5 linked regions of the Mus musculus genome follow. The main gene of each other region encodes a partner of the protein of the gene in region 5 in a complex. Links are inferred from orthologs where the notes say so. Each region holds a gene or a part of one and is shown on either strand. Other genes may lie near its edges.

What was found.
Region 1: the proteins of Gabarap (region 5) and Wdfy3 are in contact, whole or in part, in a crystal structure (PDB 3WIM), measured with the Homo sapiens proteins. The link is inferred for Mus musculus from reciprocal best matches to the Homo sapiens genes GABARAP and WDFY3. Residues at the interface, in NP_009209.1 of Homo sapiens: Glu17, Ile21, Lys24, Tyr25, Arg28, Pro30, Lys46, Lys48, Tyr49, Leu50, Val51, Pro52, Asp54, Leu55, Leu63, Lys66, Arg67, Phe104; in NP_055806.2 of Homo sapiens: Glu3342, Lys3343, Asp3344, Gly3345, Phe3346, Ile3347, Phe3348, Val3349, Asn3350, Tyr3351, Ser3352.
Region 2: the proteins of Gabarap (region 5) and Stx17 are in contact, whole or in part, in a crystal structure (PDB 7BV4), measured with the Homo sapiens proteins. The link is inferred for Mus musculus from reciprocal best matches to the Homo sapiens genes GABARAP and STX17. Residues at the interface, in NP_009209.1 of Homo sapiens: Tyr5, His9, Lys13, Glu17, Lys20, Ile21, Arg28, Pro30, Lys46, Lys47, Lys48, Tyr49, Leu50, Pro52, Leu55, Gln59, Phe60, Phe62, Leu63, Lys66, Arg67, Phe104; in NP_060389.2 of Homo sapiens: Ala169, Glu170, Ser171, Trp172, Glu173, Thr174, Leu175, Glu176, Asp178, Leu179, Glu181, Leu182.
Region 3: the proteins of Gabarap (region 5) and Calr are in contact, whole or in part, in a crystal structure (PDB 3DOW), measured with the Homo sapiens proteins. The link is inferred for Mus musculus from reciprocal best matches to the Homo sapiens genes GABARAP and CALR. Residues at the interface, in NP_009209.1 of Homo sapiens: Glu17, Ile21, Tyr25, Arg28, Pro30, Val31, Ile32, Lys48, Tyr49, Leu50, Val51, Pro52, Leu55, Phe60, Leu63, Ile64, Arg67, Phe104; in NP_004334.1 of Homo sapiens: Asp199, Trp200, Asp201, Phe202, Leu203, Pro204, Pro205.
Region 4: the proteins of Gabarap (region 5) and Trp53inp2 are in contact, whole or in part, in a crystal structure (PDB 8T31), measured with the Homo sapiens proteins. The link is inferred for Mus musculus from reciprocal best matches to the Homo sapiens genes GABARAP and TP53INP2. Residues at the interface, in NP_009209.1 of Homo sapiens: Tyr5, Glu17, Ile21, Tyr25, Arg28, Pro30, Val31, Ile32, Lys46, Lys48, Tyr49, Leu50, Val51, Pro52, Asp54, Leu55, Gln59, Leu63, Arg67, Phe104; in NP_001316358.1 of Homo sapiens: Glu31, Val32, Asp33, Gly34, Trp35, Leu36, Ile37, Ile38, Asp39, Leu40, Pro41.

Annotation. Positions count from the first base shown.
Region 1 is NC_000071.6:102,067,118-102,071,241, forward strand, and holds the start of Wdfy3 (WD repeat and FYVE domain-containing protein 3), read right to left. Parts: upstream 2,805-4,124; 5' UTR 2,479-2,804; intron 1,245-2,478; exon of another isoform or gene 1-1,244. UniProt on the Homo sapiens protein: Required for selective macroautophagy (aggrephagy). Acts as an adapter protein by linking specific proteins destined for degradation to the core autophagic machinery members, such as the ATG5-ATG12-ATG16L E3-like ligase, SQSTM1 and LC3.
Region 2 is NC_000070.6:48,131,415-48,134,922, forward strand, and holds part of Stx17 (syntaxin-17), read left to right. Parts: intron 1-348; exon of another isoform or gene 349-350; 5' UTR 351-412; coding exon 413-535; intron 536-923; exon of another isoform or gene 924-1,124; intron 1,125-3,508. UniProt on the Homo sapiens protein: SNAREs, soluble N-ethylmaleimide-sensitive factor-attachment protein receptors, are essential proteins for fusion of cellular membranes.
Region 3 is NC_000074.6:84,844,132-84,848,398, forward strand, and holds the start of Calr (calreticulin precursor), read right to left. Parts: upstream 2,801-4,267; 5' UTR 2,668-2,800; coding exon 2,577-2,667; intron 2,221-2,576; coding exon 2,119-2,220; intron 1,935-2,118; coding exon 1,731-1,934; intron 835-1,730; coding exon 740-834; intron 653-739; coding exon 443-652; intron 361-442; coding exon 247-360; intron 78-246; coding exon 1-77. UniProt on the Homo sapiens protein: Calcium-binding chaperone that promotes folding, oligomeric assembly and quality control in the endoplasmic reticulum (ER) via the calreticulin/calnexin cycle.
Region 4 is NC_000068.7:155,380,719-155,384,663, reverse strand, and holds the start of Trp53inp2 (tumor protein p53-inducible nuclear protein 2), read right to left. Parts: upstream 2,809-3,945; 5' UTR 2,647-2,808; intron 2,469-2,646; exon of another isoform or gene 1,735-2,468; intron 1-1,734. UniProt on the Homo sapiens protein: Dual regulator of transcription and autophagy. Positively regulates autophagy and is required for autophagosome formation and processing.
Region 5 is NC_000077.6:69,989,961-69,994,176, reverse strand, and holds the start of Gabarap (gamma-aminobutyric acid receptor-associated protein), read right to left. Parts: upstream 2,808-4,216; 5' UTR 2,465-2,807; coding exon 2,375-2,464; intron 1,813-2,374; coding exon 1,734-1,812; intron 1,596-1,733; coding exon 1,477-1,595; intron 1-1,476. Other genes in the region: Ctdnep1 (CTD nuclear envelope phosphatase 1), read right to left, coding at 4,140-4,200. UniProt on the Homo sapiens protein: Ubiquitin-like modifier that plays a role in intracellular transport of GABA(A) receptors and its interaction with the cytoskeleton.

The sequences.
Region 1 (4,124 bases), on a different chromosome or scaffold from region 5:
AAGGCAACATTCTGCACCACGAGGCATCTGGACGGTGTTCCACAGAGGACATTAATGGTTGCCAAGGATCTGAGGACTAAGCAAAGGGCCATGAAGGGCCTTCCTAGGGAAGTATGAATGGCCTCTGCTTGTCTGTAAGACAGACCACCCAACTGCACATTCAGATAAAGCGTCACTACATGGAGATGATTCCTGAGTAAACCCAACCTGAAAAAAACCAAATCGGCCATTAATTTGTGAATGGTGCTGTGGGCGAGAAAAGTATCCGCTGTGCAGAAGGGGCTGGGACTCAGAGCAGACGCCAGACAAGCAGATTCTACACAACAGTCATGATGGAAACGCAAGGGTCTGTGCCATTGGAATCACAGAAAACAATAACACTAGAGGGTGGGTGGTTGGGGAGGGGGATGCAGCGAGAAGAGCTTTGGGGTGTGGCTGCAGAGCTGTGTGCATACCTGGGTCACCCCAGCAAGCCCGTCACTGAGCCCTCTGCACTGAAAGCCCATGACTCCAAAATGCCATGCCATTCCGGTCTTCACATCTAATTGGTATCCTAAAACATTGATCATCACTGGCTCTAAACTTAGGCAATCTGGGTCCTAGACTTTCCCTAAAGTTGCCTAATTCCCCATCTGTACAATGGGATCAGCATCTTCCCCGTGTCTGAATGAGAATACACGGATGAATACTTTACATGCATGCTATCCTGGGATCCTCTCCATCTTTCCGTGGTACTCTGATACACTCTCCATCACAAGCATTAGACAGAGACAGGTGGAAAGTACACAAACTAATTTTTTTTCCTCAGACTTGCCTGCATCTACAAGACTTAGACGTTCACGCTCTTCTCAGCCTCCCAGTACCTGGCCAACAGGTATGAGTCACCATACCCAGGTAGGATATTTACTCTTTTTAAACTACGATACCCAGTTGTTTACCATCTTTTGTGGTTCCAGATCAAATGGGGGTGGGGGAGCCCCGATGTAGGCTACATTCTGAGGATAATTTCTAGAAATTCTAAGACCCCACTGAATGCAGCACCTTGGTGATATTTAGGACACCAGAGGTAAACAGTGAAGACTTGTGGAGTTCAGCATCCTCAGAGTACAGAATCTGATCCTGGAATATTACACTACGGTTTAACTTTCTTTCATGTCTTTCCAAGTTACTTCAAAGCCTCATGTTCCTTAACTCATAGCACATTTGTAGAGAAATTTTTGTGAGAAGCATATTTTTACATGAATAGATTTCAACTAAGGAAAAGAGAAACTATTTAAAAACCTGTATTTCTAGTTGCTTGAGGCAGAACTGCTCAAAGTTTTAGTTCTCAAACCTAATGAAATACAGATTTTTTTTAAACATTAAATGCATATCAAGCTAATTCTTACACAGCAGGGTCCCATGATGACAGTTTTATTTAAAGAGGGATTTACTTTGACTAGATCTATACACTAACAGACTATAGTCTTTCTCCTAGACTCTACACTAATACCACATCCCATTTTCCTGTAAATAAGTACATTTTTCATTGTTTTGTTATTTTTACTTGCTTTACATCCTGACAGTGAAAACTGATCTAAACCTGCTTGATAGAGGCCAGCCTGGAATCTGCTGTCTCGACGCAAGGGTTTTGTTTTTCTTTTTTTGTTGGGTTTTCAGACACCATAATAACCACTTGGTACTGACCAACCCATAGCTATTAGTGAACAAAAATAGTTTTTCGTATGCATAAGCACCATTTTTCCCACAGAAAAAACACTTAGCCATTGGTGAGGTACTGAAAATCCATGCATTCGGTAAACATCTGCTTGATCTGATTCTATCCTATTATTTCTACAAAGGAAGAACTCATCATCTGTCTCTCCGATTCAAGAGTCAAAAAATCAATGGAACGCAGCACCTCCGATGCGACCATGGTCCAGAGGGCTCTGGTCGGAAAGGTCACCGCTGCCTTTTCAACCCCGCCATAACCGCGAATGTCGGTGATGCCACCACATCCCCGATGCAGGACAGAAGCATCCCAGGTCCCTTCCACAGGGAAGGGTTTGCAGCTCAGAGCGTAGAGGGATGAGCCAGGAGAGGCCCGCGGCCCTGGAGACGGCGCCCGAGGGATGGAGGCCGCGCTCCGCTGCGCCCGGGCGCGCGCGGGTGGGGGCTGGGGGGTCCGGGAATGGGCACCGGGAGGGTCCTCCCGAGGGGACCGGCATGACCCCCACCTACCCCGGGCGCCGCCGGGTTACGCCCCCGCCCTCCCGGACCTGCGGTCGCCTTGCCCCCGCCTCCCCATCCCCGAGGCCCCCGCACGCCCCTCCGCCGGCCGCCTGGGACCAGCCGCCGACGGCGCCCTCTCCAGGCCCGGAGGAGGACGCGGGTGGGGGAGCGGCTGGGCCGCGGCCTGTCCCCGCGCGGACAGCGCCTCCGCCCCGCAGGAACAAAGCGCGCCGCGGGCGAGCCGGCGAGCGGGCAGGCAGCACTCACCGCGGACGCGCGGGCCCAGGCGTGGGGCCCGGGAGTCCCCCCAGGCCGGGCCGGGGCCGAGCGCCCGCTGCAGTCCGCGAGCTGCGGGGCCGGGGCGGCAGCCGTGCTAGGCAGCCAGGGCAGCGACGCCGCCGCCGCTCCCTTCTCCCGCCTGGGTCCCTGCTCCGCCGCGTCTTCTCCCTCGCCGGGTCCCCGCCGCCGCCTCAGCCTCGGCACTGCACGGGCTGCTCCTCTCCATCAAGGCCGGGCCGGGCCGCGGGGAACATCCCGGAAAGTGAGGGCTGGTGGCCGTCTCCCGCAGCTGCTGGTGGCCATCTTTAATCCTCCTCCTCCTCCCGCTCTCCCCACCTCCCGCGCCCGCTGACGGACGGCTCGGGATCCTCCTCCCGCTCCTCCCGCTCCTCCTACCAGGCCGGCCGCAGAAACTGCAGCCGCGCGGCCGGCCCCTCCCGCCTTTCCTTCCTCTTTCCTACTTCCTTCCCTCGCCGCGGCTCCTGCTTGCCGGCACCCTGGACAGGCGCGCAGCCCAGTCCGCGCCCCGCGCCCCGCGCCCCCTGCCCTCGCCTCCGGGCTCCCGGGTCCTCTGGCGCAGCGCTCACCCCCTCCTCCGGCTTCTCGGGGGACCCTGCTGAGAAAGCACCGCTGCGCGCCCCTGAGCCCTACTCCCATTGCTGGATGCTGTCACCAGCGATGAAAACACGCGAGCCTGCGTTCATTTTACTCCAGCTGGAGTACAAAAGAACTGCCCACGCTAGCTCTTTCACTACGCGGCCTCGAACCCCCACCTCCTCCGGTGCGGATCAGGACCCAGGAGTTTCCAGTCTCCAGGGTTGTCCTGGGTCAGTGACCTTGAGACCTTCTGCTGAGATTTTAGGTTTGCCCTTTCTGGAAAGGTCATTCTTTGTACCTCCATAGACCTGACCAACACAATGTTTGCACTAAATGAGTATGGATTGGTAAACTTGAAACAGCCAAGCGGACATCAGCTTGTCTCTGTTCCTAGTCCGCCCAGCGTACCGTTTGGGTCATACTTCTGTTCTGACGGTGGGGACAAAACTGAGTCAGCATGAATGCTTGAACTCCTTGAGTTGAACAGCTCAGAGTGGGGAAGTAGTGGTACAGAAACTGGAAACACGAGCTTGTTTTCCCAACACTGCAATCTACAGCAGTTTTAGGATTTCCTCTAAAAAAGAAAAAAAAAAAAAAAAAGCCGAAGTAATTTGGACTTGCTGTTTCCTTTTTTTAAGCCAGTTTGTGTTTGGAATTGGATCCAGTTGTACCGATTTACTCCACTGTTTGCTACAAGATTCAGCAGCTGTTCCGTGTGGGGGCCCCTGTTCCTGCTGTTCCCAGGCACCCGCTGGCAGGACAAAGCACCTTTCCCCAGGTGTGGAGAGCCATGCCTGTAAGGCCTGTGCTGGGTGGGGCTGCTGTTGGATGAGGTTGGGGGGTCCCTCAGGAGGATAGAAGAATTGTCCAGAGTTGGAGGCCAGGGAGACAGTCAGGGAAGGGAAGAGACCAGGGGCAGGCTACAGAATAAAAATGTAAATGTTACTCAATTCTGAAAGAGTAGGTCAGAACAACCCCTTTTAAAAAAACCTACTTTTATAACCAGATCATCTAAGGGGGAACAGAAATCCGATGCT
Region 2 (3,508 bases), on a different chromosome or scaffold from region 5:
GAGAAACAAAGCTATACACGTTCAGTTTTGGGTTTATATGTATTTAGAGTAAAGTATAATTGCATATTTTTTGCCTTTTATGTTTTAAAATTTTATTTTATGTGTATGAGTGTCTGTCTATGAGTATGTCTATGCACTATATGTGCAGTGCCAGAAAGGGCCAGAAAATGGTGTCAGACGCCCTGGAACTGGAGTTACTGACGGTTGCAAGTCATCACGTGGGTGCTGGGAGCCAAACCTGGTTCCTCTGGAAGAGCAGCCAGTGCTCTTACCCTCTCCAGCCTTGTATGTGTTTACTTTTAAAAAGAACGGAATCTGTTGTAAAAGCGTTCTTCAATGTTCCCCTTTAGGTGTTTCTGTTTGAGAGAAGAGAGCTGCTGCAAGAGGAAGTAGCGGCTCATCAGGCTTCAGGATGTCTGAAGATGAGGAAAAGGTGAAGTTACGCAGGCTTGAGCCAGCGATACAGAAATTCACTAAGATCGTGATCCCAACAGACCTGGAGAGGCTAAGAAAACACCAGATAAACATCGAGAAGGTGAGTGTTTCATTTCTATCACAGAAGCAGGTACCTGTGTGGGTTCTTCCTTGCTGTCTACGTTTCAGCTACAAGGAGAGTCTGAGGCTTTTCTGAGACCCCTCCACCCTGCTTATAGCAGCATTACTTTTCAACTGGTCTTCAAGTTCACAATTGTAATTCTCAAATATTCCTTTTATTATGTTGAGGAAGGGAGATGGGAGTAGAGTTTATGCCTTTTTAATTTACATGTGGAGGTCTTAGATAGTAATTAAATCACACTGTTTGATGGTGCCCCATAGTGTGAAGGTGGGGTGCTGTGGCTAATGGACCTGCCTTAATCTCATTCACCCCATGGCTAGTGTTTTGAACTTGTGCCTATCAAGAACTTCTATCCTCTTCAGGTGCACATGTAAACGATGTAAACAATTGTGTGATGTGAGGGAATTTCCTTTCTTCACTGCTTCTCTTTGACAAAGGATCCAAATTGAGAAGTTCTGCCAAGGCAGATGAGCTGCTCAGAGGCCCTGCCCTGGCCAGGGTGTGATGTGGGCCTGTGATGTTTACCGAAGCCTCAGGTTTACTGAGAACTGAGCTTTGACTTGGAAAGGTGGGTTGTCATCTGCTTTCAGCACTGAGCTGTGTCTACCTCTACTTCTTTATTTTTATTTTTATTTTTATTTTTATTTTAGGGTTAGAATGGATGGTGTGGTTATTAAGCCTTTCAGTATCAGCTGTATTTACTAAAAATACCAAAGTTTTTCTTCTACTGATTTTTCTAGTATTTAAGTGCTTTTAAAAAACACAAAAATTAATTTCTAAGATGTCTACAATGAAACTTTCTCTAGGAGTCTTCTAGAATTCAGGATTAATATTTTTCCATCCCCATTTCTTCTCTTCTTTATATATGGAGCATAAGCGATGGCTCTATTGCATCAGGATACAGAAGGAAGTATCTGCTAAACTGCTTCTTGCACTGGAAGAAAGTGAAAGCTCAAAAAAACACGGCTAATGAAACCTTTTACCTTGAGTTGAGCAATCCAAAGTAAACACGTCAGCTTCAATATTTCTCCATTACAAAGGATAAGAATTAGGTAGATGAACTGAATCTGAAAGGGAGAAACAAGAGGTCTGTGAGCTCTTAAAGCCATTTCCCCCTTTATTGTCCTACTCTAAGTTTGACATTTAACATATGTTTCTCATTTTGCATGGAAATGCCTGTTGTCATTGCCCTTCAATCCTAGCTACAAGTGTATGTGATCCTATCAATGGGAAAGGGGGAACCCCACAGCAAATCGGAGGAATAGGGAATAGGGTTAGATGCATTGGTGATTGGATTAGCTGTACAAGGTGTAGTAAGAGAATTACCCTGGAGTTAGTGCCATCGATCCTGCTTTGCCTGAACATGTTTCTTTTAGCAGTTTTGCTTATTATGAAACCTTCAGACGTTATCAGATGATTATCCTGGACAGATAGATGGTAATGTCTAAAACCAAGAAAGTAGGCTCATACTGATTTATGCTTTTGTCTTTAAATATCCTTGAACATTCACTGTCTGCAGGGTTTCTAGTTTGCTTATGAAAACTCCTCTTTCTGTGCACAGGCTTGAATGGTGCATTTTGGTGGCTAGGCTGTGTTATGAAGCACACTTAAAACTGCAGCCCCTCACTCTGTTCAAAAGAGTTAAGAACTAAATTCAGGCTCCAGGTGTCTTACGTGCCTTACTTTAAAAGAGGCATATTCTTCTTGAGGAAAAGGTGTAGAAAGATAAAATATTTATTATTCTGGCCATCAGTCATCCAATATGAATTTAAAAGAAGAAAGCCAGACTGAAGGGAAATTGAAGGTAAGCCTTTTGTAGAGTGAGTCTGCAACAATGAAAACAAAGAGAGCAGTGTGCTGGGGACACCTGGGCCATGTGCATAGCCCTGCAGGGGGACCCTGGACACATGATGAGTGTTGCTAGCATGGGATGCTGACGTTTGAAGCCTTAATGTGTGAGAGGTGTAGTCCAGTAAGGAGGAACTGCAGGGTAGCCAACTTGGGACACAGTTGTCTTTGTTTCATATTGTTGGGATCTAAAGAGAAACATACTGTGTGGGATGTACACAGGGTTCTTGTGAATTAGTTTATGGGTAAGATGCAAGTGGCAGAAACCCCCTAAGTGGCTTATCAGATAAGGTGGAGTTTGTTTGCCTTGGATTTGCCTCCGTCTCATCTCTCATGGCGGTGGAAGTTGTCCATTACCTGCAGGCATGTCCCTCACACCAAGCTTCATCCTCCTAATGATCTTATTAGGGCTTTTTCATTTTGAAGGTAAATTCCTCAGTAAAGAAGGTGCAGGAAGTATGGCGCTGAATAATTTTACTTTCTGTCTTACATCTGTTAATGACACGCACCCCATCATTTGCCTCCTGTTTTACATCTGTTAATGACATGCACCCCATCATTTCCCTCCATCCAAGCTTTGTTCTTTGTTCAAATCTCCCAGCTCTGATTCTTCCTGTGGGGTATGCTCTGTAATGTCATCACTTCATATTAAACGCACTATCTTGACACAGCCTGTTTACAGATTTAATACCTGTGTTTTAACTGCAGTCTACCTATTGGAGTTATTTTATCAGAGGTGAGGCTATAGTAGGGATAAAGTGGGGGGCTAAGAGGGCTGAGTGTACTATGCATTATATGACCATCCATCTGACCTAAGTGAAGGAACGTGAACAGGAAGACAGCAGAGAGCACCAAGGGATTCCTGGCCCGGGCTGCTTGCAGTATCCCATCTCATCTTTGTCCTTATTAGGTTTGGAGTCCAGGATCCCCAGCTGGCCCTGCAGAGAGGGTTATCGTCCATGGTCATGGACAGTTGCTTGAGCATGTAGGGATGTAATGTGGCAACTACTTGCAACTCCCAACAATTGCTCTCTCCCTACTACACTCTGTAGGGAGTTGCCTGTACCTAGTAGCTCTGGATGCCCACCCTTCCTGGAGTACAGG
Region 3 (4,267 bases), on a different chromosome or scaffold from region 5:
TCAGGGTTGTCAATTTCTGGGTGTATCCAGGTACCCTTGTAATCTGGGTTGTCAATTTGACGTGGTTTCCACTCGCCCTGTAGAAGAAAACCAGATGAATAGAGAGGCAGACACATCCCACAGTACAGCCAACAACCCCGACTAGGACCCCAAGGCCTATCTTGGTTTGTTTCTGCAGTGCAACATTAATCATAGCACCCAAGGAAACATCCCACCAGGGAGCCACACCCAAACACCCAAGCCTACCTTGTATTCAGGATTTTGAATCACTGGTGGTTCCCACTCTCCATCCATCTCTTCATCCCAGTCCTCAGGCTTCTTAGCATCAGGGTCAGGGATGTGCTCTGGCTTGTCCCAGTCCTAGGAGTACACGTGGAGGTCAAAGTGGACCCAGATGTCCTCCATTCTATGACAGAGGTGGAGCTACCCTCCCAACACTAACCTCAGGCTTGGAATCTGTGGGGTCATCGATCTTGGCTCGTTCATCCCAGTCTTCCGGCTTGGCAGCATCAGGGTCCTTTATCTTCTTGGGTGGCAGAAAGTCCCAATCATCCTCCAAGGAGCCTGACTCCACCTGGCTGTTGTCAATTTTCACCTCATAGGTGTTGTCTGGCCGCACAATCAGTGTGTATAGGTGTGTGAATTCATCATCCTGAAGAGGGAAGGAGGTGAGCAGTCCCTCCCACCAGGCTGCCGGGACCTCCCATGACAGCCATTTAAATGACTACCCCAGGCACACCTTACACCGGATATCCTTGTTGATCAGCACATTCTTGCCCTTGTAGTTAAAGATGACATGAACCTTCTTGGTGCCAGGACCGCAGATGTCCGGACCTATGTAGGAAGCATATGCAGGCTGATGGCAGGCTCTATCCTTTGAGAAAGGGAGACCTAACCTCATCTATTTGTGACTATATACCATGCATACACAGGAGCCTGCAGAGGTCTGAAGTGGGCACGGGAGTCACAGGACACTGTGTGAGTGCTGGGAACTGAGCTTGTGTTCTCTGAAACCACTGAATTCTATCTCCAGCTCTTATTTTATTTTTGACAGAGGAGACTGTTACATTTAACTGAAGCTGCCTTTAAAGTTCTGATCTACTTCAGTGGTCTGAATGCTGGAATTACACATATACACAGCCATCGCTATCCAGAAATAAAAACCTGTTTTGGTTGGGGTTTGTTTGTTTTTTTGAGACAGGTTCTCTATACAAAGTCCTAACTGTTCAGGAACAGTTATACATCTGACTTCAATGCATCCATTAAAGGCATAAAAGACTACAAATCTGAAACGATTACCATTCTGGGGCCAGCAAATGGCTCAGTGGTAAATTAGGTACTTGCCACTAAGCCTGACAATCCAAATTTGATCCTAGAACCCAGATGACAAAAGAGATTTCCAAAGTTGCCCTCTGACCTTCACACTAGCACACCCTTTCATACTTGAGTACAGAAGAAATATGCACATGCTCAGATTTTTCACTGATTTTTAGACCCTGTCATTAGCATCATTTCTAAAATTATTAACACGTAGAAAATATCATACAAATGAACAATATAAGTCTTCAAGTAATATTGTACACCAACTAATAAAGTTGTCCTTCAGGACAAAAATTTTCATCATTCAAGTGCTTTCCATGGTATGAAGATCAGCATTCTGGTTACAAAGGGTTTCAGTCTGCACCCACTGTCCAACCGGCAGAGGTCAGCACTGGCTGGGGGCCCCTCACCAAACATGATGTTATATTCTGAGTCTCCATGCATGTCCTTCTGGTCCAAACCACTCGGAAACAGCTTCACGTAGCCGCCCCCACAGTCGATATTCTGCTCATGCTTCACCGTGAACTGTACCACCAGTGTCTGGCCCTTATTGCTGAAGGGTTCGAATTTGGCGGACAGTGCGTAAAATCGGGCATCTTGGCTTGTCTGCAGCCCTGTGATGAAATGGGACTGTCATCAGGTGAACCCGGAATACCCTAGACCTAGAGGGGCACGGCTGACCTCCCTTCCTTCCTCCACCTGTCCTTGGCTCCCGTGTTCCTGGGAAAAGCCCCAACAAGATGTATGTGCTGACTACAGCTTCCTCCAGGAAGTTGTCCTGCACCCACTCCCTTGTACCTTTATCCTTCTCCAGGTCCCCGTAAAATTTGCCAGAACTGAGGACAAATTTGCCAAAATCGGACTTATGTTTGGATTCGACCCAGCGGTTGGTCCAGGCATCTGAAAGGGAAGGGCATAGAGTCAGATTAGCGGGGCCGTCCGACCCCCGCCCCCATAACCAACGTCTGTCAGGAGCTACAAGCAGGTGGGGGTGGGGAAGGGGATTCCCATCCCAACCTCAAACTTGACATCTCGATGGGCTTCAGGTCCTTGGACGAATCCTAACTCTGGGGGCGGGAAACGGCTGAGCCTTCCTAGTCCCACAAGGACGCACACATGGAACCGCCCGCGGCCCTAGTCCCTCTGGGGCCACAGTGTTGGCCCTCTGAACGGTAATTACATTACACACGACGAGGCAGCCGAGGTCTCGGGGCCCAGCAGTCGCTAAGCGGCCTCGAGACGGGCCCAGACCTTACCTCCGTCCAAGAACTGCTCTTTGAAATAGATGGCAGGGTCTGCGGCGGCCAGGCCGAGGAGGCCAAGCAGGAGCGGCACCGAAAGGAGCATGGCGGGCCGAGGGGGCGGCGGCACACAGGCCTTTTAAGACGATCTTCAGGCAGCGGCTCTGCGGTATTGACGGACGCGGCCACCGCCGCTTCAATTTATATTCACCTACCTCTCACCCGAACCTGACACAGCCGCTGAGCCCGCCCCTCGGTCCTTTTGACTGGTTTAGACCTACAGCTGTCCCTTTCCATTGCTTCCCAGTTGGCTCAGCAAGTTAGGCTGTGGCTCGGAACGCTGGGATCCCAGATGGCTGATTTCTATTGGTCGCACTATGGGCCAATGAGGGTCGACCACGCGTTGTGGGGGACGCCCCCTGGTGGGGTGGGGGCCGCTAGCCCACTCAGGCACGGTCACGTGACTGAACCTCAGCCCAACCCCGCCCTTGCTGCTGAGAGTCTCTGGCTCGCTAGGAGTCGTTTAAAGAATCCGCGCGAGCGGTACCAGGTGTTAACCGTGCGGTGCGGGACCGAGACGGGTCCTTAGCTTCGGCCCTTTCCCATCCTCTCTGGTCAGAGGGAAGAAGTAAGGATTATTTGCAACTTTCACGTTCCGTCTGTCCTGCACCTAGGGAACGCCCACCGATGGCGAGCGTTTCCTATTCAGGATAAGGTCAAGGGCCAGCCAGGATCCTGAGGTTTCGCTGCATTCTGGTTCCACAGTTGTTCAGGCCATAGAGAACGTACCAGCTTTCTCCTCTCGTCCCGTAGTTCCCTGCAGCCTGTGTGACATGATACAAGTCATTTCGCCTCCCTGAAATGTCAGAAGCCAACAGGGGTGACCCTGAGCTATCTTGACAGAAATGCTTTTAAACCTTTTAGGGCTGTCCACGGTTCAAGAGCAGGAAACACAGAAGTCTCAGGGGTGTGAGTGTAAGCGTGTTTTCTTGGGTGAGAAGTAGGGGTTTTTTGATTTTTGTTTTTTTTTTTTTTCTCTTTCTCTTAAGCTGGAGAATGAAAGGAGTCACTTCTTGTGGTCTCCCACAAACGACTTGGCTTTTGCAATAAACGGCAGAAGGCAAGGGGTGCCGTTTGAGGAGGAAAAAGGACACAGATGGCTATGGTGATAGTTCTAGTGAGATAAGCAGGACCCTTGGATCTGGAGTCCTCTGACTCAAATCATGTGACTCTGCCTGCTGCCTGGAGGAGGAAGAACAGTACCTGTAGGGGATGGGGGATGGGAGGTGTTTCCAAACTGAGGAATTGGGAACCCTGAAACAAGACTATGAACTGCGCAGAAGGAATCCTTACAAAAATGGCGTGCTTCCTTTGCAGTGAGAGGAACTCAGTCAAGCAATGACACTTGAGGTCAAGAAGCTGGGTCTCCACCCTGTCCCCCAGGCAGTGTACAGAACTCAGCATTGCTGGTGAAGGTCCCACTGGAGGACACCCAAGTTCAACATGATCTTGACAGACCTGTGACTGACCTGACCCTCCCTCCAGTCCTGTGCCACTGACACATATGCTTGATGCCTTCTGCTTTGTCCTAGTACCCAAGACGGTGAGTGAAGCAGGGGTCAAAAGTTCAGTTCTCAGCTGCATAGTGAGTTTGAGGCCAGCCTGGGTTAAATGATACACTGCTTTAACACAATGAAATAAAGGAC
Region 4 (3,945 bases), on a different chromosome or scaffold from region 5:
TAGCACTTAGAAGGTAGAGGCAGGGGGATCAGAGTCCAAGTCCTGCTTAGGCTACATAGTGAGTTAAAGGCCAGTCTGAACTACATGGGGCCCTACCTAAAAAAAAAAAAAAAAAAAAAAAAAATAGTTCCTGGCTACATAAGATCCTGTCAAAGGGACTGAAAAGGAGTGGGAGGAAGAGAAAAAATTTTTTCTGATAGAGAGATAAATAAAACAAAGCCCAGAGAGCTGGAGAGATGGTTCAGTAGTCAAGAGCACCGACTGTTCTTCCAGAGGTCCTGAGTTCAATTCCCAGCAACCACATGGTGGCTCACAACCAGCTGTGATGGGATCGGATGCTCTCTTCTGGTGTGGCTGAAGACAACAACAGTGTACTCACATACATTTAATTAATTAATTTTTTTAAAAGGCCCAGCGAAATAAGATAACTACCTAAAGTCTCACAGCTAGTGAAAGACACAGGTAGTATTTGAACCTAATAGCATCCGTAATCACTACAGTTCTACAATCTTTTTTTTTTTTTTTTTTTTTTTGGGTTTTTCGAGACAGGGTTTCTCTGTGTAGCCCTGGCTGTCCTGGAACTCACTTTGTAGACCAGGCTGGCCTCGAATTCAGAAATCCGCCTGCCTCTGCCTCCCGAGTGCTGGGATTAAAGGCGAGTGCCACCACGCCCGGCTCAGTTCTACAATCTTACCATGAGATTGGGCAACCCTCAGATGAGGAGGACCTGTGCCTACAGGTCTGCCCCACTACTCTAACTCCCCTTTCCCCTAGACTCTTGTTCAAACTCAGCATCACTAGCCAAGAGAAAGAATCCTGTCCAGTGAGACCACATGTCAGTGATAGACAGTGGAAGAAGGAAGCTGTCAGATCCAGGGATCCCTTGAGGATAAACACAAGCTTTGGACCAAGATCCAAGCCTTCAAACCCAAGCCTCCTTCCCTGGACCAAGACAACAAGTCTCCTGTTTTAGGGATGGTGATATCAAATTGGGAACATGAATCTACCCAATAAAGCTATAGCTTAGTGGTGGTGTGGCAATGCAGAATACATACAATCAGAAAAACCTCAACAGGTAATATCCAAAAATATAATACACAGGAAACAGGGAAATCAGACACAGGCCCTGGTCTCTGGTCCCTGTAGATCTCTGGTCCCTGGCATCAAACTTTTGCATGCATTTCCCAGGGTTCACACTGTGCACCAGTCCCTGCAATGAGCCTTTTCAACTGTTGACATGTCAAGTGAGAAGCTCCCTGGTGGAGATCATACAGAAGTGAGTGACAGCCAGGAGAGATGGTAGCAACCAGCCAGCTATGACTGCCCCCCTCCTTTGACCACTAGGAGAGCCTCCTGGGTTTTCTTTCCTAGCCTGCTGGCTTCCTGGTTCTCAGATTCCTGGCTCTGCTCCAGGAAGAACCATTCCCTTAATACTACAGAGGCTGTGCCTAGAATAGCACTGGAGGCCTAAGCCAACCCTAGCCCAGGCCATTCTTGAGCGACCCTCAACCTGGGAAGGACTCCAGATCTACTTACTTGGAAAGTAAGAGACATCCTTCTGTCACTCTGGAAGCAGCCTCAGGAAACAGCATAAGCTCTGCATCACTAATGCCAGGGAAGGGTCTGGTTCTCCCAGCTGACAGCTCTGATGGGAGGCCCACAGAGGGAACTCCCAACTCCCTCTCAACAACATCTGCCCTGGAGACACCTGGAGGCAGGCAACTAGTGACTCACCTTTCTGTGGTCAAAACAGCTGGGAGACGGCCATTTATTGGGTTTTGAAGTAGAAAGAAGGCAGAGGAGGTCAGGGCCTTGTAAGAGACCCAATTTTCAGAGACCTCCTGGGAAAATGTCCAGGATCATGAAGACTGAAGCATCCCATCAAATTGTGGTTGGTGCTGAACCCAAGATAGGGTCCTCAGTAGATGTATGTAAGCATGTAGCTTATACTTCAGCTAAGGAATCTACCACTTAGTGAGTGTGATTCTAATTGGCTGAGATCTCCAGTAAACTACGTCTCTCTGAGTCTCAGTTTCCTCTTCCGTGAAGTGGGGCTTAAGACCCTCAATATTTGTAGGCTGAAAATGACATCAACTCAGGCTCTGCACACATGTCAGGGATTAGAAGGATGTTATTATGTTAGGGGGCGGAGCCTGAAGACAGAGGGGATCCGCTACCATCTGGTAGTGTCTCCAGGACCTGGAGTCTGAAGCTCCATCTACTTACCGCCCTCTCAACTTAAATCGAGCTTTGCTGTCCTACCCTCTCTCAGGTCACAAGGAAAAAACAAATGAGAGGCCTGACCCCAGTCCCTAGATTAGCCCAGGAAACCGCCGAGTCCCTTCGGATCCCGCTTGTCTTTCAGCGTCTCTTCAACCCTCGGCCGGCTGGGCACGACATAGCGCCCACCGGGTCACCAGAGGACAAGCACCCATGCAAGCCTGGAAGGCGGGGCTGGCCTTGGTGACGTCTCAATGTCATATGCAAATAAAGCAACGTCATGGCCTACCGGCTTGGAGCAACCAATAGGGAGCCAAGAACGCAGCTCCGGCTGCCGCCGGCGGAGACAGACAAAGAACGGGAGAGGGGGGCGCAGGGCGTGTCCTGGGGGTGCCCGGAGCCCCCAGCCCGGAGGTCGGGACTCACCTGGGGCCGCTGCAGCAACCGCTGCGCTGAGGTAGTTGTGCGGCCGGGCGTCCCCGGGTCGCCGGTGCTCACAACTGGAGCCGCATACCGGGGACGGGCCGAGAGACGGCGGGGCTCCCGAACGGACGCCCGGAGCTGCTGCGGCCGCTGCGCCCGGGCTCAGGGCACAAATCCGAACGCTTCAACAGCTGATTGTGACGTCACAAAGGGGCCCGCCCGCTCGCGTCAGCGGCCGTCGGGACGGCAGCCAATCACAGGCGCCGAATGCTCTTTCCCCGCCCCTCCGCGGTTTGCCAGCGGGTGGCTGTAGCCCGGGAGCTGCTCTCGGAGCCTCTGTCTGAGTGGAGGTGACGGCCCGAATTCCCTGCCCCCAGTTACCCACAGACCTCACACTGAAAGCGACCCCCCAATTCTTCCTCAAGAATCCCACCTCGCTGCTTTTTCCGCACACATCCCTGCTCCCTCACTTGCCCCAGAGCTCCGCACATCCCTTCTCCTGCATCTTAGGTGCAGGACACCCACCCCACCCACCCCCGCCGCGCTCCATCTGTAAGTCCCTTTTACCCTCCTTGTCCTTTTACCCCACTTCTCTACACTGCCCTACTTGCCTGCTCTCCCTCCTCTATGTTTTTTGTTTTCCCCGCTCCTTTTTACGGTGGGCTTGAGCGGACCTTGCCCCTTCCGCGGTTACAAAGGAGCACCTGCGAGTGTTAGAGAATTGATGGGGCTGACAGGAAATCTGGCCAGCGTAGGACTTGGAAAGAAATTGCTCTAAGCTGAATAAACATTGACCTGGAGACAGCTCGGCTTAGAACGTTTACATACCTTATTTAGTCCACGTTGCTACCGGAACAGGTCAGGGGGGAAAGAGTGACAGACAGGGCAGGGATTGTTAGTCCTGATTTACATGTGGAGAAACTGAGATTACATGTACCTGCCTTTCATCTCACCACTTGGTAGATAGAAATGGGTTCAAGAGTTTGAAAGGCAGCTTGAGCTACAGGAGACTCCGAGGGAGGGGAGGGAAAGAAGAAGGGGCACCTACGGTTGCTTCTTCCAGACTGCCAGCTGACACTGAACACTTACCATATGCCAAGCACTGTGCTGCCTTTTAATCTTTACAATAAACCCAAAAGGTAGGTAGCATCCTCCTTTTACAGTTAAAGAAACAGACCAGGAGAATCTAAGCAACTTTCCGAGGTAATTAAGGAATAGTCCTTGGCAGAGCCAGGAGTTTAACTCACAGGTACTAGCCTTGACTCTGATCACACCCTACACCAGAGGGACTGAACTCCAGGG
Region 5 (4,216 bases):
GGAAAGGCTGACTTGGACTGGGTGGTAGTGGTGCACACCTTCAATCCCAATGCTCTGGAGGCAGAGGCAGGCAGAACTCTGTGAGTTAGAAACCAGCCTGGTCTACAGAGTGAGCTCCAGAACAGCCAGGGCTACACAGAAAGACTATGTCTCAAAAAACAAAACAAAACAAAACAAAACAAAACAAACAAAAACAAAAACAAAAACAAGCTGGGCTTGGAAGCGCAAGCCTTTAATCCCAGCACTTGGGAGGCAGAGGCAGGTGGATTTCTGAGTTCGAGGCCAGCCTGGTCTACAAAGTGAGTTCCAGGACAGCCAGGGCTTTACAGAGAAACCCTGTCTCTGAAAAAAAAAAAAAAAAAAAGAAAGAAAGAAAGAAAGAAAGAAAGAAAGAAAGAAAGAAAGAAAGAAAGAAAGAAAGAAAAAGGCTGACCTCACTGCCCGGTGTGGTGGCACACGCCTTTAATCCCAGCACTCGGGAGGCAGAGGCAGACGGATTTCTGAGTTCAAGGCCAGCCTGGTCTACAAAGTGAGTTCTAGGACAGCCAGGGCTATACAAAGAAACCCTGTCTCAAAAAAACAAAAAACAAACAAAAAAAAAAGAGGCTGACCTCAAACTCACTATACTATGTAGTCAACAACTTCCAACTTGATACTGCTGCCTCGGCCTCTACCTTCCTCTGCTTCCACAGTGCTGGGACTGAAGCTGTGCATGATCATGCCCCACGTTCAGTGGTTTTGAGGGTTTTTAATTTGGGGATTTTTATTTTTGATTGTTTTATTTTTATTTTTATTTATTTATTTATTATTTTTTTTTTTGAGACAGGGTCTCACTACTAAGTATCTCTGACTAATCAGGATAGACTCAAACTCAAAAGAGACCCACCAGCCTCTGACTCCTGGATGATCGGATTAAAACTGTGTGCAGAAACAGCTGTGCTTTGGATTTAAAGGATCAAAGGTATGTGTCACCATTCAGGATGAGGACTTATAACAACTCTAACACCAGCACTCAAGAGGCATAAGCAGGAAGCTCTCTGAGTCTGAGGTCAGCCTGGTCTGTGTGTCAAGTTTAGGGCAGTGGTGGCGCACACCTTTTGTTAAGCCCAGCCCTAGGGAGGCAGAAACAAGTGGGTCTCTGGGAGTTTAGAGGCCAACCTGGTCTACAGAGGGGATTCCAGGACAGCCAGGATTATACAGAGAAGCCCTGTCTCCTAAAGAAAACGAACAGAAAGTAACAACAACAACCACCACTCCTCAAACGCAATCTATTCTTTGACATCTGGGACTCTTGGAGAGACTCACTTAGGTAGTAAGTCCCAGTCAGAACAACTCCACCAGTTCATACTCCTCCCTATTCTCAGCGCTAGTAAGATCCCACGGCAGGGCTGTACTGACATTTTAAAGTTAGCCAGCAGCGACCGCTGGCCTTTACTTTCCTCTCCAAACACTACCGTTCCTTCCAAGGTACTGTACCTGGTACAGCTGACCCATCGTGGCACTGGTGGGTGGAATGACATTGTTGACAAAGAAAAACAAGGCATCTTCAGCACGGAGATGAATTCGCTTCCGGATCAAGAAGTAGAATTGACCAACTGCCAAAAACAGGAGATGCAAGCAAGTCACAGAGGTCGTAGGCGCCTCCAGAGAACAGCTGCCAGGTGAAGCCTCCTCCCACAGAGTTGGCAGGCCCACCCACAGAAAGAAACGTGCACCACAGGTCAAGCCCTCACCTGTAAGATCAGAAGGCACCAGGTATTTCTTTTTGTCCAGGTCTCCTATCCGAGCTTTGGGGGCTTTTTCCACTATCACCTGATAAAAGGTAAGAATGAGAAAAATGAATATATATATATATATATATACATACATACACATATATATGCTGCTATATCGATGAAGAACTCAACATACAATATTCCCTTTTACTGAAACCTACTGGAATCTCATTTCTCTAGTTATCCTTATATACGTGGTGCACACAGCATTAGGTCCAAAGCTCCTGGCCTCACTCTTACCTAAATATTGAGAACTGATCCTAGAACGGCGCATCACAATAACTATTTTCACCAGAGAATACAGGATGACTTGTTTGGGTCAAAAATCTACATTAAATCTAGCTAGTTGGGAGGATGGCCATGGAAACTCTGGGTTGTCAAGCTCACTAAGGCCTCTATTCTGAGAAATACCCTGATCTCTCTCTCCCGTCCACATCTTAGTCCCCAGCTCTACTTCAGGTGAGAGACCTCTGGTACCAGAGACAACAGAGTTCTAACCCCACGACAGACAGAGCCTGACTTCAGCTTTCCCAGACTCAAGCATAGCCTGTGGCGACAGCGTCAGCGACGCTAGCCTGGGCCCTGGCTACTGTCCTTACCGGGACCCGGTCTGGGTATTTCTTTCGGATTTTCTCGCCCTCAGAGCGGCGCTTCTCGAACGGATGCTCCTCTTTGTACACGAACTTCATTCTCCCGAGAACCGGGCTGGACCGAGCTGGGCTGAGGGAACCCAGGGGGGGGGCCGGGACAGGGGGCGGCGGCGGAGGCGGCTTCGACGAACAGACTTGGCGGAGCGATCCACGAATTTGCGCCACTTCCCTATTCATCAACCCCGCCCCCGACCATCGGACCGGCCCCGCCTGCTAACATACGCCACTAGCTCAGCTTGCTAGCGCAACCCGTAGCCTGGTCCTCTTACGCCTTCAGCGTAACTGCTTTGGAATCAACTTGTGGGTTACACATATGACATCGCAGATAAGGTTGCTGTTGTTTCGAGTGAACTGAAAAACCCTTTCCCACAGTACAAAGTTGAGGACGAAACTGGTACCCAGTGGCAGTCATGAGATTTAGTTCTGCAGTTCTCGGAAATTACGTTGGGGAAAGGCAGACAATTACAAGTCTAGGATTTCATGAGACGTGTTTCTACGCTGAAGGTGGCCGTTGACACCAAAACAAAGTAGTACCCAAGCTGTGGATATGGACACCATAAGACAGAAAGGAAAGAGGTTTGCAGACACCCAGGGAATGCTCAAGGCTCAGGCTTATGTGAACCAAGAGAAACTGCAAAAGCCCCAAAGATAAGGACTACACCAGAGCGGAGGAACACATTTCTGAGTGTAGATAAAATCATGTGACCTCAGAAAAGGGCGGAGAATCACGTGGCGGGTGGCGAAAAGTAGTCCCGGCTCTGGAGAGGAGGTGCCAGGAAAGAGGGTTCCGCCCCAGGTTACTGCTGGAGTGCCAACACCTCGTAGGCAGCGCCCTCTTAGCCTGTCCACGTCAACTTCCCAGACAAGCCCAGCCTTTCTCCAGCTGTATGCCCTTCCAGGGTTCTAGAGTTTTCCCTCTTTAGCCTTCTATATCCTACTTTAAAGTTGTTGGTCCACTGTCCATCAGGGACTCCATCCAGTCAGTGGGGCCTTTCCTGCCGAACACTGAACATAAACTACTTTATCCCTGTGCTAAATCCCACTTCCCCCCAACTCCAAACAGCATCTTCTCCCTCTGCTTCAAGGACAGAGCAGATGTCAACAAAGTTCCCTCCATTTCCAAAAACATCAGAGAAGGGTCTAGGGCAGCTTTGGTTTCAAAGTTATAATGCATGGTTTAAAAGAGGAAAGAAGAAAGGAGCCGATTACAGGTATGGGGGATTGGGGAAAGAAAAAAAATGAGGAAAAGTAAGGGGGGGACAAGTCTGAGGAGGATCCAGTGGCCCGAAACCCCAGTCCCCACCCACAGCCCAGCCCTTGGAGCAGGAGTGAAGAATTAGATCAGTTTTGTATAAGAGTTTTTAAAAAAATCAAATCACAACAAAGTTGAATTGGCTTCTTTTGAGCCTCTGGGATATGTCTGTCACTCTGGCCAGTCCTGCCTCTTCACCAGACTGTTTCGGCTCCTCTAGGCCTTCGCCTGTCCCAGTCTGGCATTTCCACGGAGTGTGAACCCAGAGTGAGGCTGCTTCACGGTCTGGCCCATGTGTCCATCCAGACTCCATAAGTGGAGTGTAGGGCTCCCAGGGCAGAGGGGTGGGAGGGGCAGACTCTGCCCAGGCAGTCCTCACATTGGACAGGGCAACAGACGGTGTCCCAAGAACTCTCCCTCCCTTTCCCCTCCACCCCAACTCAGGTGGAGGGGGAGCAGCTGTCACCAGAGCCTATGTTGGTGAAGGTTTCGGCTCAGCACCGATCGGACATCAGCAGTGAACCTGAAATGACAGTAAC